Linked DNA regions of Xenopus tropicalis. The protein of the gene in region 1 interacts with the protein of each later gene in a pairwise test. Links are inferred from orthologs where the notes say so. Each region holds a gene or a part of one and is shown in the gene's direction. Other genes may lie near its edges. The genes, in order: tceanc, obi1 and csrnp1.

What was found.
Region 2: the proteins of tceanc (region 1) and obi1 interact in binary tests that used the Homo sapiens proteins (3 or more experiments, as listed by UniProt). The two-hybrid records come from large-scale screens. The link is inferred for Xenopus tropicalis from reciprocal best matches to the Homo sapiens genes TCEANC and OBI1.
Region 3: the proteins of tceanc (region 1) and csrnp1 interact in binary tests that used the Homo sapiens proteins (3 or more experiments, as listed by UniProt). The two-hybrid records come from large-scale screens. The link is inferred for Xenopus tropicalis from reciprocal best matches to the Homo sapiens genes TCEANC and CSRNP1.

Annotation. Positions count from the first base shown.
Region 1 is NC_030678.2:105,787,230-105,789,560, reverse strand, and holds the end of tceanc (transcription elongation factor A N-terminal and central domain-containing protein), read left to right. Parts: intron 1-219; 5' UTR 220-221; coding exon 222-1,271; 3' UTR 1,272-1,762; downstream 1,763-2,331.
Region 2 is NC_030678.2:125,575,090-125,579,005, forward strand, and holds the end of obi1 (ORC ubiquitin ligase 1), read left to right. Parts: intron 1-1,455; coding exon 1,456-2,791; 3' UTR 2,792-3,321; downstream 3,322-3,916. UniProt on the Homo sapiens protein: E3 ubiquitin ligase essential for DNA replication origin activation during S phase.
Region 3 is NC_030682.2:13,330,355-13,334,600, forward strand, and holds the start of csrnp1 (cysteine/serine-rich nuclear protein 1), read left to right. Parts: upstream 1-1,446; 5' UTR 1,447-1,536; intron 1,537-4,246. UniProt on the Homo sapiens protein: Binds to the consensus sequence 5'-AGAGTG-3' and has transcriptional activator activity. May have a tumor-suppressor function. May play a role in apoptosis.

The DNA of each region.
Region 1 (2,331 bases):
TAGTAGCTGAGTAATATTAGTTTCTTTAAAGCCTTATAGCTTTAGGGCCCTATTTTATTGGGCAGCCTAAATGAATTGCATTTAAAAGTTCAGATATGTAAGGTCAGTTCATAAAAGAAAAACTTACTGAGAAAGAACTGAGAAACTTAAAAGACCAATATTTAAACACTTCAGCTAGAAAGAGATTTTTTATGTTGCCTTCTTTTTTCCCAACTGTAGAAATGCTACACAAAGACATTAATAAGGAGCTTGTTTCCAGAGCGTTAGAAGTGGAAAATCTTCTGGCTGAGAGAAAATATGAAGACCTTGCATTCCACCTTACTTACTTTGAAAAAGCAGAAGTCACATCAGGAATTCTGCAGGGTACTGATATTGTCAGAGTTGTTTACAGAGTTCTTAAGACCTGTCCAAGAGGAGCATTGAAATTAAAGGCAAAAGTTTTATTGTCCAAATGGAAAAAACTATATAGAAAGTGTTGCCATGAAACTAGCTGCATTTGTGAGCATTGTAGTAAAATATGTGAAAACAAAGAAGGTCCTGAGAAACTAGCTGTCGATATCCAAGATCAAGTTCACAACAGTGAACAAAAAATATTGATTAATAAAAGCACAAGTAGCCCATCTTCTTACAAATTCAATCTAAACAAATCCGATTCAAGCGCACAAGATTGTTATGGTAACCATGAGGAATCTGTTACAGACCATGAAGTTCCTAAGAAAGTAAACGCTGAAGATTTGGCTCTGAGAACCAAATGCACAGAGCTCTTATACCAAGCATTGAGAGAAGACTCGGAATGCCAAGAGAAACTGCAGAATTTAGCAAAGGCAATTGAAGAGAACATCTATAAAATACATGCTGGTAATACCAAGAAATACAGAAACTGCATCAGAAGCAAAATTTCCAATTTGAAAAATCCTAAAAATTCCCATTTAAAGATGCAGATTTTATCCAGAGCTTTAAGTCCTAAGGTATTTGCTGAGATGGGTGTTATGGAAATGGCCTGCGATGAATTAAGGAATCTTAGAGCAAACTACACTGAAACCTGTGTTCAGGAGCATCAGCTACCACAAGGAGTTGATGGTGTTCACACCAATAAGATCAGATGTCGGAGGTGTGATAAGTTTAACTGTACAGTAACAATGATATCTAGGGGGACACTTTTTCTTCCAGGTTGGGTACGAACAGGAAACCCTGATGAGGAGATGATGACATTTGTAATATGTAATGAATGTGGTGAACAATGGTACCACAATAGATGGGTCTGCCTATGAGTTTGCACATTGGACTTGAACTGTGTTTGGCTTTTTTTTTTCTAACAATAGGTAAATGATCAGGACATAAATTATTTATTTTAGTGAACAAGAACTAAGATTATTTTAAAACTTACTTTAAAACTGTTATGTCTACACTTATTTCAGAGTATAACCTTAAAAGTGTCTAATTTATTAATATACAACAGTGCCTCTTTGAATACCATAAGAATAAGAGTTAAAACAGTCTATCCTTGGCAAAGCATTTTTTTAACAAAACTGTCACAACAAATATCTATTTGTGATCAATATTTCATTCACTGAGAATTCCGTAGGGTACTGTGGCAGCCCCCTCAGACATGTATAATAAATGTAGAAATGGAGTATTATTATTATATCTATGGTGCCCAGACATTACTGATATGGGATTCTGTATTTAGTAAAAGTCGATTGAGATAGGGTCTTTGGGTCATTGCATTACAAGACAAAGCATATATTAATATTTAAAAAAACACCACCCATTTCCCAGGCCTCATAATTAATATCTGAATCATTTGTAACTAGATGTAACTAGAACAGTTATCCAGTAATCTGCTGGTCAGCAACTCAAAATCTGCTGGGTTACAACCTACCTTTTGGGCAGTACTGTGCTGTAAAAGGAATATTTAATTTTAATTTAAATAAACAATATACACTGTTAATATAAATTGGCAATATTACTATGAAAAGTAGAAGGTATAAAAAGACATAAAGAGATACATTTGCCACAGTAGACAAAAACAATTGAGCAAAAATCACACACTAAAGTAAATGTTTATTTGTTCAGATATCTGTTAGCTTTGGCTGAAAATCCTGCAGCCCAGTGATCACATTAGGCTGTGGGTGCCTATTTGCTCTGCACGGCTGCCCTCTTGTGATGCATTTAGATTTCCCTGAATTTTGCAGACCACTGCTGTTTTAAAGGCCAACATGCTGTCTTACCTGTATATGTCCAGCCTAAGGAATAAGTAAACTGTTAATAGACTGAGTTAATAGACCGGTATTAGCAGTATAAAACTGCTAATCTATTTAAAACTGCATG
Region 2 (3,916 bases), about 20 Mb from region 1:
AGCCAATCACTGCCTGATTTCTTTGGCCATGGACCAGCACTGGATAATGTTAGGTCAGCAGCCTTCCACCCAAATTACAGACTAATGTAACTAGGGGGAAGCAGTCTGTGTCATTACTGTGCCTTTCTGCTGACTCTCACTTGTCCCTTATACCATTCAGACACCAGTAGATATTCCCCTGCTTGCACTTGCTTAAGAGTCATAACTTCAGGCCAGAAATAATCAAGGCATTTTTATATCAAAAGAATGCAAAGTATTCACACTAAATATTTACAATATAGTTAGACCCATCATTTATGACATTTATTATTATTTCTTATGCTTATAAGTGCTGCTCATTTATTGGTCTTGTAAGTTTCACACACTGGTAGAAAAAAAGCACAGACTTCTTAAGATAATTTCACAAACATTAATTAAGAATGTTTCCCATTCTGATTTTAATTAAAGATATTAATGACTAAGCTGTAATTACCCTACAGACATAAATTATGCACATTTTCTATGATTTATTCACAGGGGGCTTTAAAACAATGGACATGCAAAAACTGATAGCATTTCTAATTCCTTATTTAGATTATAGCATGCATTGCCTTAATGTTTGTTTAAATGTTCTTAGAAAACATGAATTTGTTTATGGTTCTTCATCACCTTCCACTACTATGGATTATAATGAATGCACTGTGTAAATAAGTGTATTATTTATTTGCTAAAGTTCTGAATTCCTTTTGGATGTACAGATATTGTGGGCATGTCATCAGTGACAGTATGGTGAGGGAGTGCACCAAATGACTCCCTACTACAAAGGAACTACTCCTAACTAAGACATACTTTCAATGTTTAGAGCGGCTTATCAATTTTCAGAAGCATATATCCTAAAAACGCTTTTAAAACTTTTTTTTTTTTTTTTTTTTTAGATACATTTAAGTTTTGGGTGCTACATCTATAAAAATGTATATGTGTGAGTGTGTTACGTATCGCTTGTATATGAATATAATGGCAATGGGCATTGGCTTTTTATTGAAGTGTTCTATCAATGGATATTATGGAGGGGCATATTTAAGATTGCTTGGGTTTTTCGTCACAAGAAATCTTTAAGGAAGCTCCACGTGAGTTTACTAATCACCTGGTGTTTTGTGCCGAAAAAAGTTTGGCAATATCTGTAATTTTACCATAACAGGCTTTTAGAACAAAGAAAAACTTTGGCACATAAAAGCTGCCTCATCTTTCTATAAGCATGTATAGGCAAACTTCCGAAGATTGCCGAATATTTTCCGTCACAAAACCCAGCGTGATTAGAACACTCACACAGGGTTTCCTTTATGATTGCCTGAGCCTGAAGGCTCAGATAATCCTAAATGAGCCCCCCCTATGTGCAGTGCTAAATTATTAATACAATGCATTTCAATAAGCTGTTGAATCAGAATTAAATAACATTTAATCTCTTTTGTATTTTAGGTTTGGTAGATTTACAGTGGCTGCCCTCCATGCTAAGATTGACCAGTATGAAAAGGAAATGAACAGGCTAAAAAAAGCTCTTGAGAGAAGTGATAAGTACATAGAAGAACTGGAAGTGCAGGTGGACCAGTTGAAAAGGGCTGCAGATCTGAAACAGGATGAGAGCTCACAGAATGAAAATTCAGTCCATGATAAAGACACTGTAAATTCTGAAATAGGTTGTACAGAACTTTATGAAGGAGTGAAACTAGAACAAATGGGTGAGAAACCTGAAAAACATGACATAAATAAAGAGAATTCCAGCGATACATGCCCAGCTGCAAATAATGAAAAATCACATGTACACAGATCAGAATATCTTACGCAGACAGGGTGCTCCCTTAATTTTCAAAAGGAGCGTAAAATGTTTCTAAGTAGCGGTTCTGCCATGTGGAAGGAGAGCATGAAGGGTCCACATGATAATATCACATCACAAAATAAGCAAACGGAGACTTACACGCCAACTAAAGAAAAAGAAATCCATGAGTACAATAGTCCAAGCACATCGCTGTCTTTCAGCTCTCTTCAGCTAAACAGTCCGGACTGTAAATTGTCTCTTCCATCAAATCAAGTGAATGCAAAAAAACCCTTAACTTATCTTAGAAAATTAGTTTTTGAGGACTATCCTAAAAAAGGAAAACCAAATAGTTTTTCCAGTGCAAATAATAATATACCAAAACCTTTTAATGAACAAAAATCTGAATATATGACTTGTGAAGTCAAACATAAACATCAGAGAGGTAACCTAAAGGAAAGTGACATGCAATCAGAAGGCCAGATACTGCAAGCATTTTCTTTACCAAGCAGTGGTGAAGTGCATCACACCACAACCACCAGTGAAAGTCCCATGGATACTTTTTTACATAATGTCAACAATCTGGATTCCTTGATGTCAACATTGGAAGGCAATAAAAGCCTTCATTACCACAGTGTTACCGCTGATGCTGTCATGCATTTAAATTCACAGCCAGGGAATGGACTTCAAGCCTTTTTTTCAAATCCACATACTAGGGACGGACATTTTCCTCTTGAAAGTCAATCTTCCGATAAGTCTCACATCAATGATTTTCACACAAGTGGGAGGACTTCAAGTTTGGTGCTGCCTTTTAATGATATGCCACAGATTAAATATCAAAATACAACGGAGTCCTCTAATATTCTCACAAACTTAAATGCTTCAGAGCTAGCTAGTAATTCCTGTTGTACATCTTACACTAATAATAAGCATGGCCCTGCATCAAAACGAAAGCTCCTTAATACCATATGTGAAAGTCCACCTAAGACCATGAAGCCATAAATTTGTTTCTTTCATGGAAACATCATGGGAAGTAACTGTTTCATCATGCCAATAATACAGTACTTTATTTTTATCCTTGAAGGAAAATGTTAAAGCTTTAGCACATTTTTAAGCATTCCAAAAAGTTGCAATGAAATAATGTTTTTTGCAGATAAGAGACATTAGGCCAATGTATATAATTATCTATTACAATTACATATAGTCTGTGATATCGCCCTTGTTGTCTTTGGTGGTTAAATAATGGGAAATATAAAACTTTTGGTTTTTTGATTTCTCTGGCTATTTCTTTACCCACTTAGTATACTTCTCCCTCAAACCTCCTGGCATTGTGACCTGCTTTATCTTACTCTTGTTTCTAAGGCTGATGACATGGTGTGCTTTTCAGCCCATTGCCTCCTGCTGCTCCCATGTCAATGGAGCCCATAAAAGGTCTTTTTTGTTTGCGTGTGTTTCAGCCAGCTTAGAAACATCATATGTGCCATTTTTTTTTCACCTTTGGCATTTTTATTCACATTACATATCAACAAGTTTAATTAAACAAAAACAATGCTTTCTTTCAAGTTTTCACTCCTTTAAAGTACGCAGGTATTTAAAGTGTCAAGCTATTGCAAGAAATTAGTTCTTGCTATAACATCTTAAACTGAGTATAGTAAAGGTTCATTTTATTGCGAGTGACCTTATTAAGGGACACATTTCTGTCCAATATCTCATTCCAAAATTAAAGATATAGCACGTGCTCCTATTGGTTTTATAACAGGTTTGCCACTGGTTGTAAAATATTGATGGTGTGATTTGCCTCCATTCAGGCCAGACTTACAGTTCATTTTCTGTGTGTATTAGTAAAGTACTTCCTCTCACATCTTAGCCAATTCTGTGTACACCTCACTTTATGCACGGTGGCATTCTGTTGCTGAAACAGAAAAAAAACCCTCTCCCAAACTATTGCCACTAAGTAGAAAGCACAGAATTGTTACAATGTTGTTCTGTATGACATAATGTTAAGGTTTACTGTAACTTGCCCCAGGCAATTATCTCTTCTCCACCAAACTTTACATTCAAAATAAGATATTATGGTAGATGGCATACTCCTGATGTTTGCCAAGACATGTTTATCATACTGCTCCA
Region 3 (4,246 bases), on another chromosome or scaffold:
GGGGGGCCCTATTAATAAAGGCAGTGTGCCTGGGGGGCCCTATTAATAAAGGCAGTGTGTCTGGGGGGCCCTATTAATAAAGGCAGTGTGTCTGGGGGGCCCTATTAATAAAGGCAGTGTGTCTGGGGGGTCCTATTAATAAAGGCAGTGTGTCTGGGGGGCCCTATTAATAAAGGCAGTGTGCCTGGGGGGCCCTATTAATAAAGGCAGTGTGCCTGGGGGTCCCTATTAATAAAGGCAGTGTGCCTGGGGGGCCCTATTAATAAAGGCAGTGTGCCTGGGGGGCCCTATTAATAAAGGCAGTGTGCCTGGGGGTCCCTATTAATAAAGGCAGTGTGCCTGGGGGGCCCTATTAATAAAGGCAGTGTGCCTGGGGGGCCCTATTAATAAAGGCAGTGTGTCTGGGGGGCCCTATTAATAAAGGCAGTGTGTCTGGGGGTCCCTATTAATAAAGGCAGTGTGTCTGGGGGTCCCTATTAATAAAGGCAGTGTGTCTGGGGGTCCCTATTAATAAAGGCAGTGTGTCTGGGGGTCCCTATAATAAATGGGATACAGGAGCAAGCAGTGAGTTTAGGAGCCCCTATTATAAATCAGATGCAGTAACAGTCAGTGTGCCTGGGGGTCCCAATATAAAGATATAAAGGGATACATAACCAAGCAGTGTGCGGGGGGGGGGGGTTATTATAAATGGGGTGCAGAAGGCAGAGTGTCTTTTGGGTCTTATTATAATTAGGGTGTTGTAGGGGGCAGTGTGTCTGGGAACCCCAATAATAAATAGGGTGCAGTATTGGGTAATATATCTGGGGACCCCTATAATAAATAGGCAATGAGTATGGGGTTCACTATAATAAATAGGGTGTGAGTGAGTGTGGGGGCTTCCTATAATACATGGCTGGCAGCAGGCAGTGTGTCCCCCTAATTAATGGGACAGAGCAGCAGGCAGGGGGGGTCCCCCTAATTAATGGCACAGAGCAGCAGGCAGGGGGGGTCCCCCTAATTAATGGGAAGGTGCAGCAGGCAGGGGGGGTCCCCCTAATTAATGGGAAGGTGCAGCAGGCAGGGGGGGTCCCCCTAATTAATGGGAAGGTGCAGCAGGCAGGGGGGGTCCCCCTAATTAATGGGAAGGTGCAGCAGGCAGGGGGGGTCCCGCTAATTAGTGGGAAGGTGCAGCTGTGCAGGAATGATGGGGGAGCAGTAGCAGGCAGCATGCCGATCCCTGTGCCTCAGGGGAGGGGGCACAGTGTATGGGAGAAGGAGCGCAGGAAGCAGAGTGTGGGCTGGGGGGAAGGAGGAGGCGGAGGGCCGGGCCGGGGCGGAGGGAAGGGCCGGGTTACTCACTGGCTGCCCGGCCTGTCTGGCTCCCTGTCACCGCCTGCGTCACCAGCCCAGGAGTTTTTCCACTGACGAAAAAGGCAGAGCTCCCGGTGCGGGCAGGCAGAGCTGGGGGAGCAGCGCAGGGAGCACATCGCTACCGCCGGACTATGAGCAGCAACTAGCGCCGCCAGCGCCCCATTGTGCAGCAGGAGCCCGGGCAAGGTGAGCCACAGGCTGGGGGGCTGCACAGTCACAAGTCGGGGTTCGGGGCAGTTATGAATGGGGGAGAGGGGTTTGAGAGGGGGTCGGTGCCTGGGGGGGTGCAGGGGTGCTTTGCTCTATTTCCCACACTAGGGGCGCCTGACGCTGGGAGAGGCTGAGGGTGCAGCGCTGGGTACAAAGGCTCCAGCCCGTAACACTGACTGATACTACAGCCCGGGCAGCCGGAGCAGCGCCGCTCAGCGGGGAAGGCGCGACCTCTAGTGTTGGAACTAAGGAACTGCACCCTGGGCTCTTTAAATGTTTGGCGCTCAATAGTGTCAGCTGGAACTTCTGTCCCTTGTCTGGAAACATTCTGTCCCTTGTCTGGAAACATTCTGTCCCTTGTCTGGAAACATTCTATCCCTTGTCTGGAAACATTCTATCCCTTGTCTGGAAACATTCTATCCCTTGTCTGGAAACATTCTATCCCTTGTCTGGAAACATTCTATCTCTTGTCTGGAAACATTCTATCCCTTGTCTGGAAACATTCTATCCAGTTCTGTTGGTCTGCTTGGTATTCCCACTGCTTTCCTACCTGTATCGATTTTTCTTATTTGCCATTGGGCTGGATGAGTTCTGTTTTGGGGGGTTGTTTTTCTGTTTGGGGGACAGTGCCAGGCAGGGCTGGACAGGGCACCTTGTTAGATATATTAAGTGTTTGGGTACACACATAGAAGCCCTGTGGCTCTGACTGAACCAATCCCTGCCCATTGTATGTAACCCCCCCCCCCCTCCTTCAGAGCTGCCCCCTGTCTCCTCTTACTCATGTGAATGTTTGGGCAGCCCTGCACTTTGCTTGTGTGTACTTTCCTGATAAGATGGCTCTGTGGTTACAGCCTGGCTGCTGTTTTGATACTGCCTTATAAACAACACCCCCCCCCCCCCCAATCTGCTGCTGCTTCTAGTTACTGTCTCAGATGTTGGGTTATTGTTGTGCAACTTTTACAATCAACACTTTTCTATGTTTGTGTGCTATGGGAAGCACAAGTTGGAATTTACTAATTTACATCATTCTGGGCAATGGTATGTGGATAGGATGTGTGTGTGTGAGGCCTCACTCATTCATACTACTGTCTGCCCTAAAGAGCTTACAATTAAATCAGATTTTAGGCAAAAAGTGGAAAGGAAGGGGGGTGGTCATCTGATTGGCTGTGACTCACAGGAGAATTTGCTGGAAGTTACCCTTATGTTTGACAATGGACAGAGAGGGGTGTTACTGCTGCCCCACACCGGGGCATTAATCCATTAAGAGCACTCACTGGACTTGACACGTTTGGCCTGACCACAATGCACTGCAACATGGGCCTGAAGGGGATATAACCACCTATTTTGGCACCTCCTTGTGTATTCCAGTTGTATCACCCCCCCCCCCCCCCCCAAGGCCAACACCTGAGTTACTATGAAAGTACAGGGTATTGCTTGGCAGCCAGTTTCATTGGGACCGAAGGTCACTTTTCTGTTTGCAGCAGTGCTGTAAAGTGATGACTAAGGCTTGAAGCCTATTGCTGTCTAGCTGATTGCCTAGTGGTCATTAATGTTATTAAGTTCTGATATATATGGCATAAGGACTATGGATATATGGACTAACATTCCCAGAGCTTTTGGGGGGGATTCTGGGACTTGTAGTTCATAACATCATATGGCTGAAGTGGCTAATAGTCCTAATGTATGTGTATCTATATTTATAAAGTGCTACTTATGTACGCAGCGCTGTACAGTACAATAAATGAGCAAACGTTGAGGCTATAACTTTGGCTGCTCACTTCTAAAACTAAATCTGCTGGGAATATTTAGCTGTGAATTTCCCACTTCCTGTTCCATCTGTACAGGAAGTGAGCAGTGCAAAAGGATCCCCCTCCCAACCCTGGTGCATTCTGCAATTCCCATATCTGAGTATTATTTTCTACTGTATTTGTCCCAAGGTTGGCATGGGGCTGTACTTCCCCTTTAATGAGCTTTTATTCTCCTACTTATTGAGCCGCTTGCCTTGTGCGGCTCATTATTATTATTATTATCTCATTATTATTACTATGATCATTGTGATTACCGTTGTTGTGTTTATTGGATCCCGTGTCGTTAAGGTGACTGGCTGCTAATTGCCTCGTAATTAACGCGTGAGCCCTGGCTATTGGCGCTGAGAGTCGCCCAGATATTTCCCAGGCACCAGAGGGCTAAACTACTTCCCCGCAGGGGTCCCGGCGATTCCCCCGCTCCCTTGCACTCATATTGGCTGAGATGCCAGAAGACACCGTCTCCTCCTCCTCCCCCCCATTAACCCCCCCCCCCAGCCTTCTGCATTACTTCCATCCCCCACTTCCTTGCCCTGCATTGTATTCTGTGGGAAATGCTCTTATCTATGGAGGGGGGGGATTGTGTGCTGCATCTGGGTATGTGCTGCATCAGGCAGGTGCAATAGAGGGGTACAGGTGCCAGCGAACATAGTGCCCCCCCAGGTCCCCCCGCTTGTTTCCGGCAGTGGGTACATTGCCCGGCTCTTGGGAAATTCTCCAGGAAAGGAGATGGGCTCATTGTTGTAGCAACTGGCCTTTTCCACGCTGTCCCTTCCCTGCGTATCCGCCAGGCTTCCGTGGATTTAATTGGCAGCTACTTGGCGTGCACCCCCGTGACTCATGGTACAGGCCGACCTGTTTATGTTCTGATGGGTTTCTAC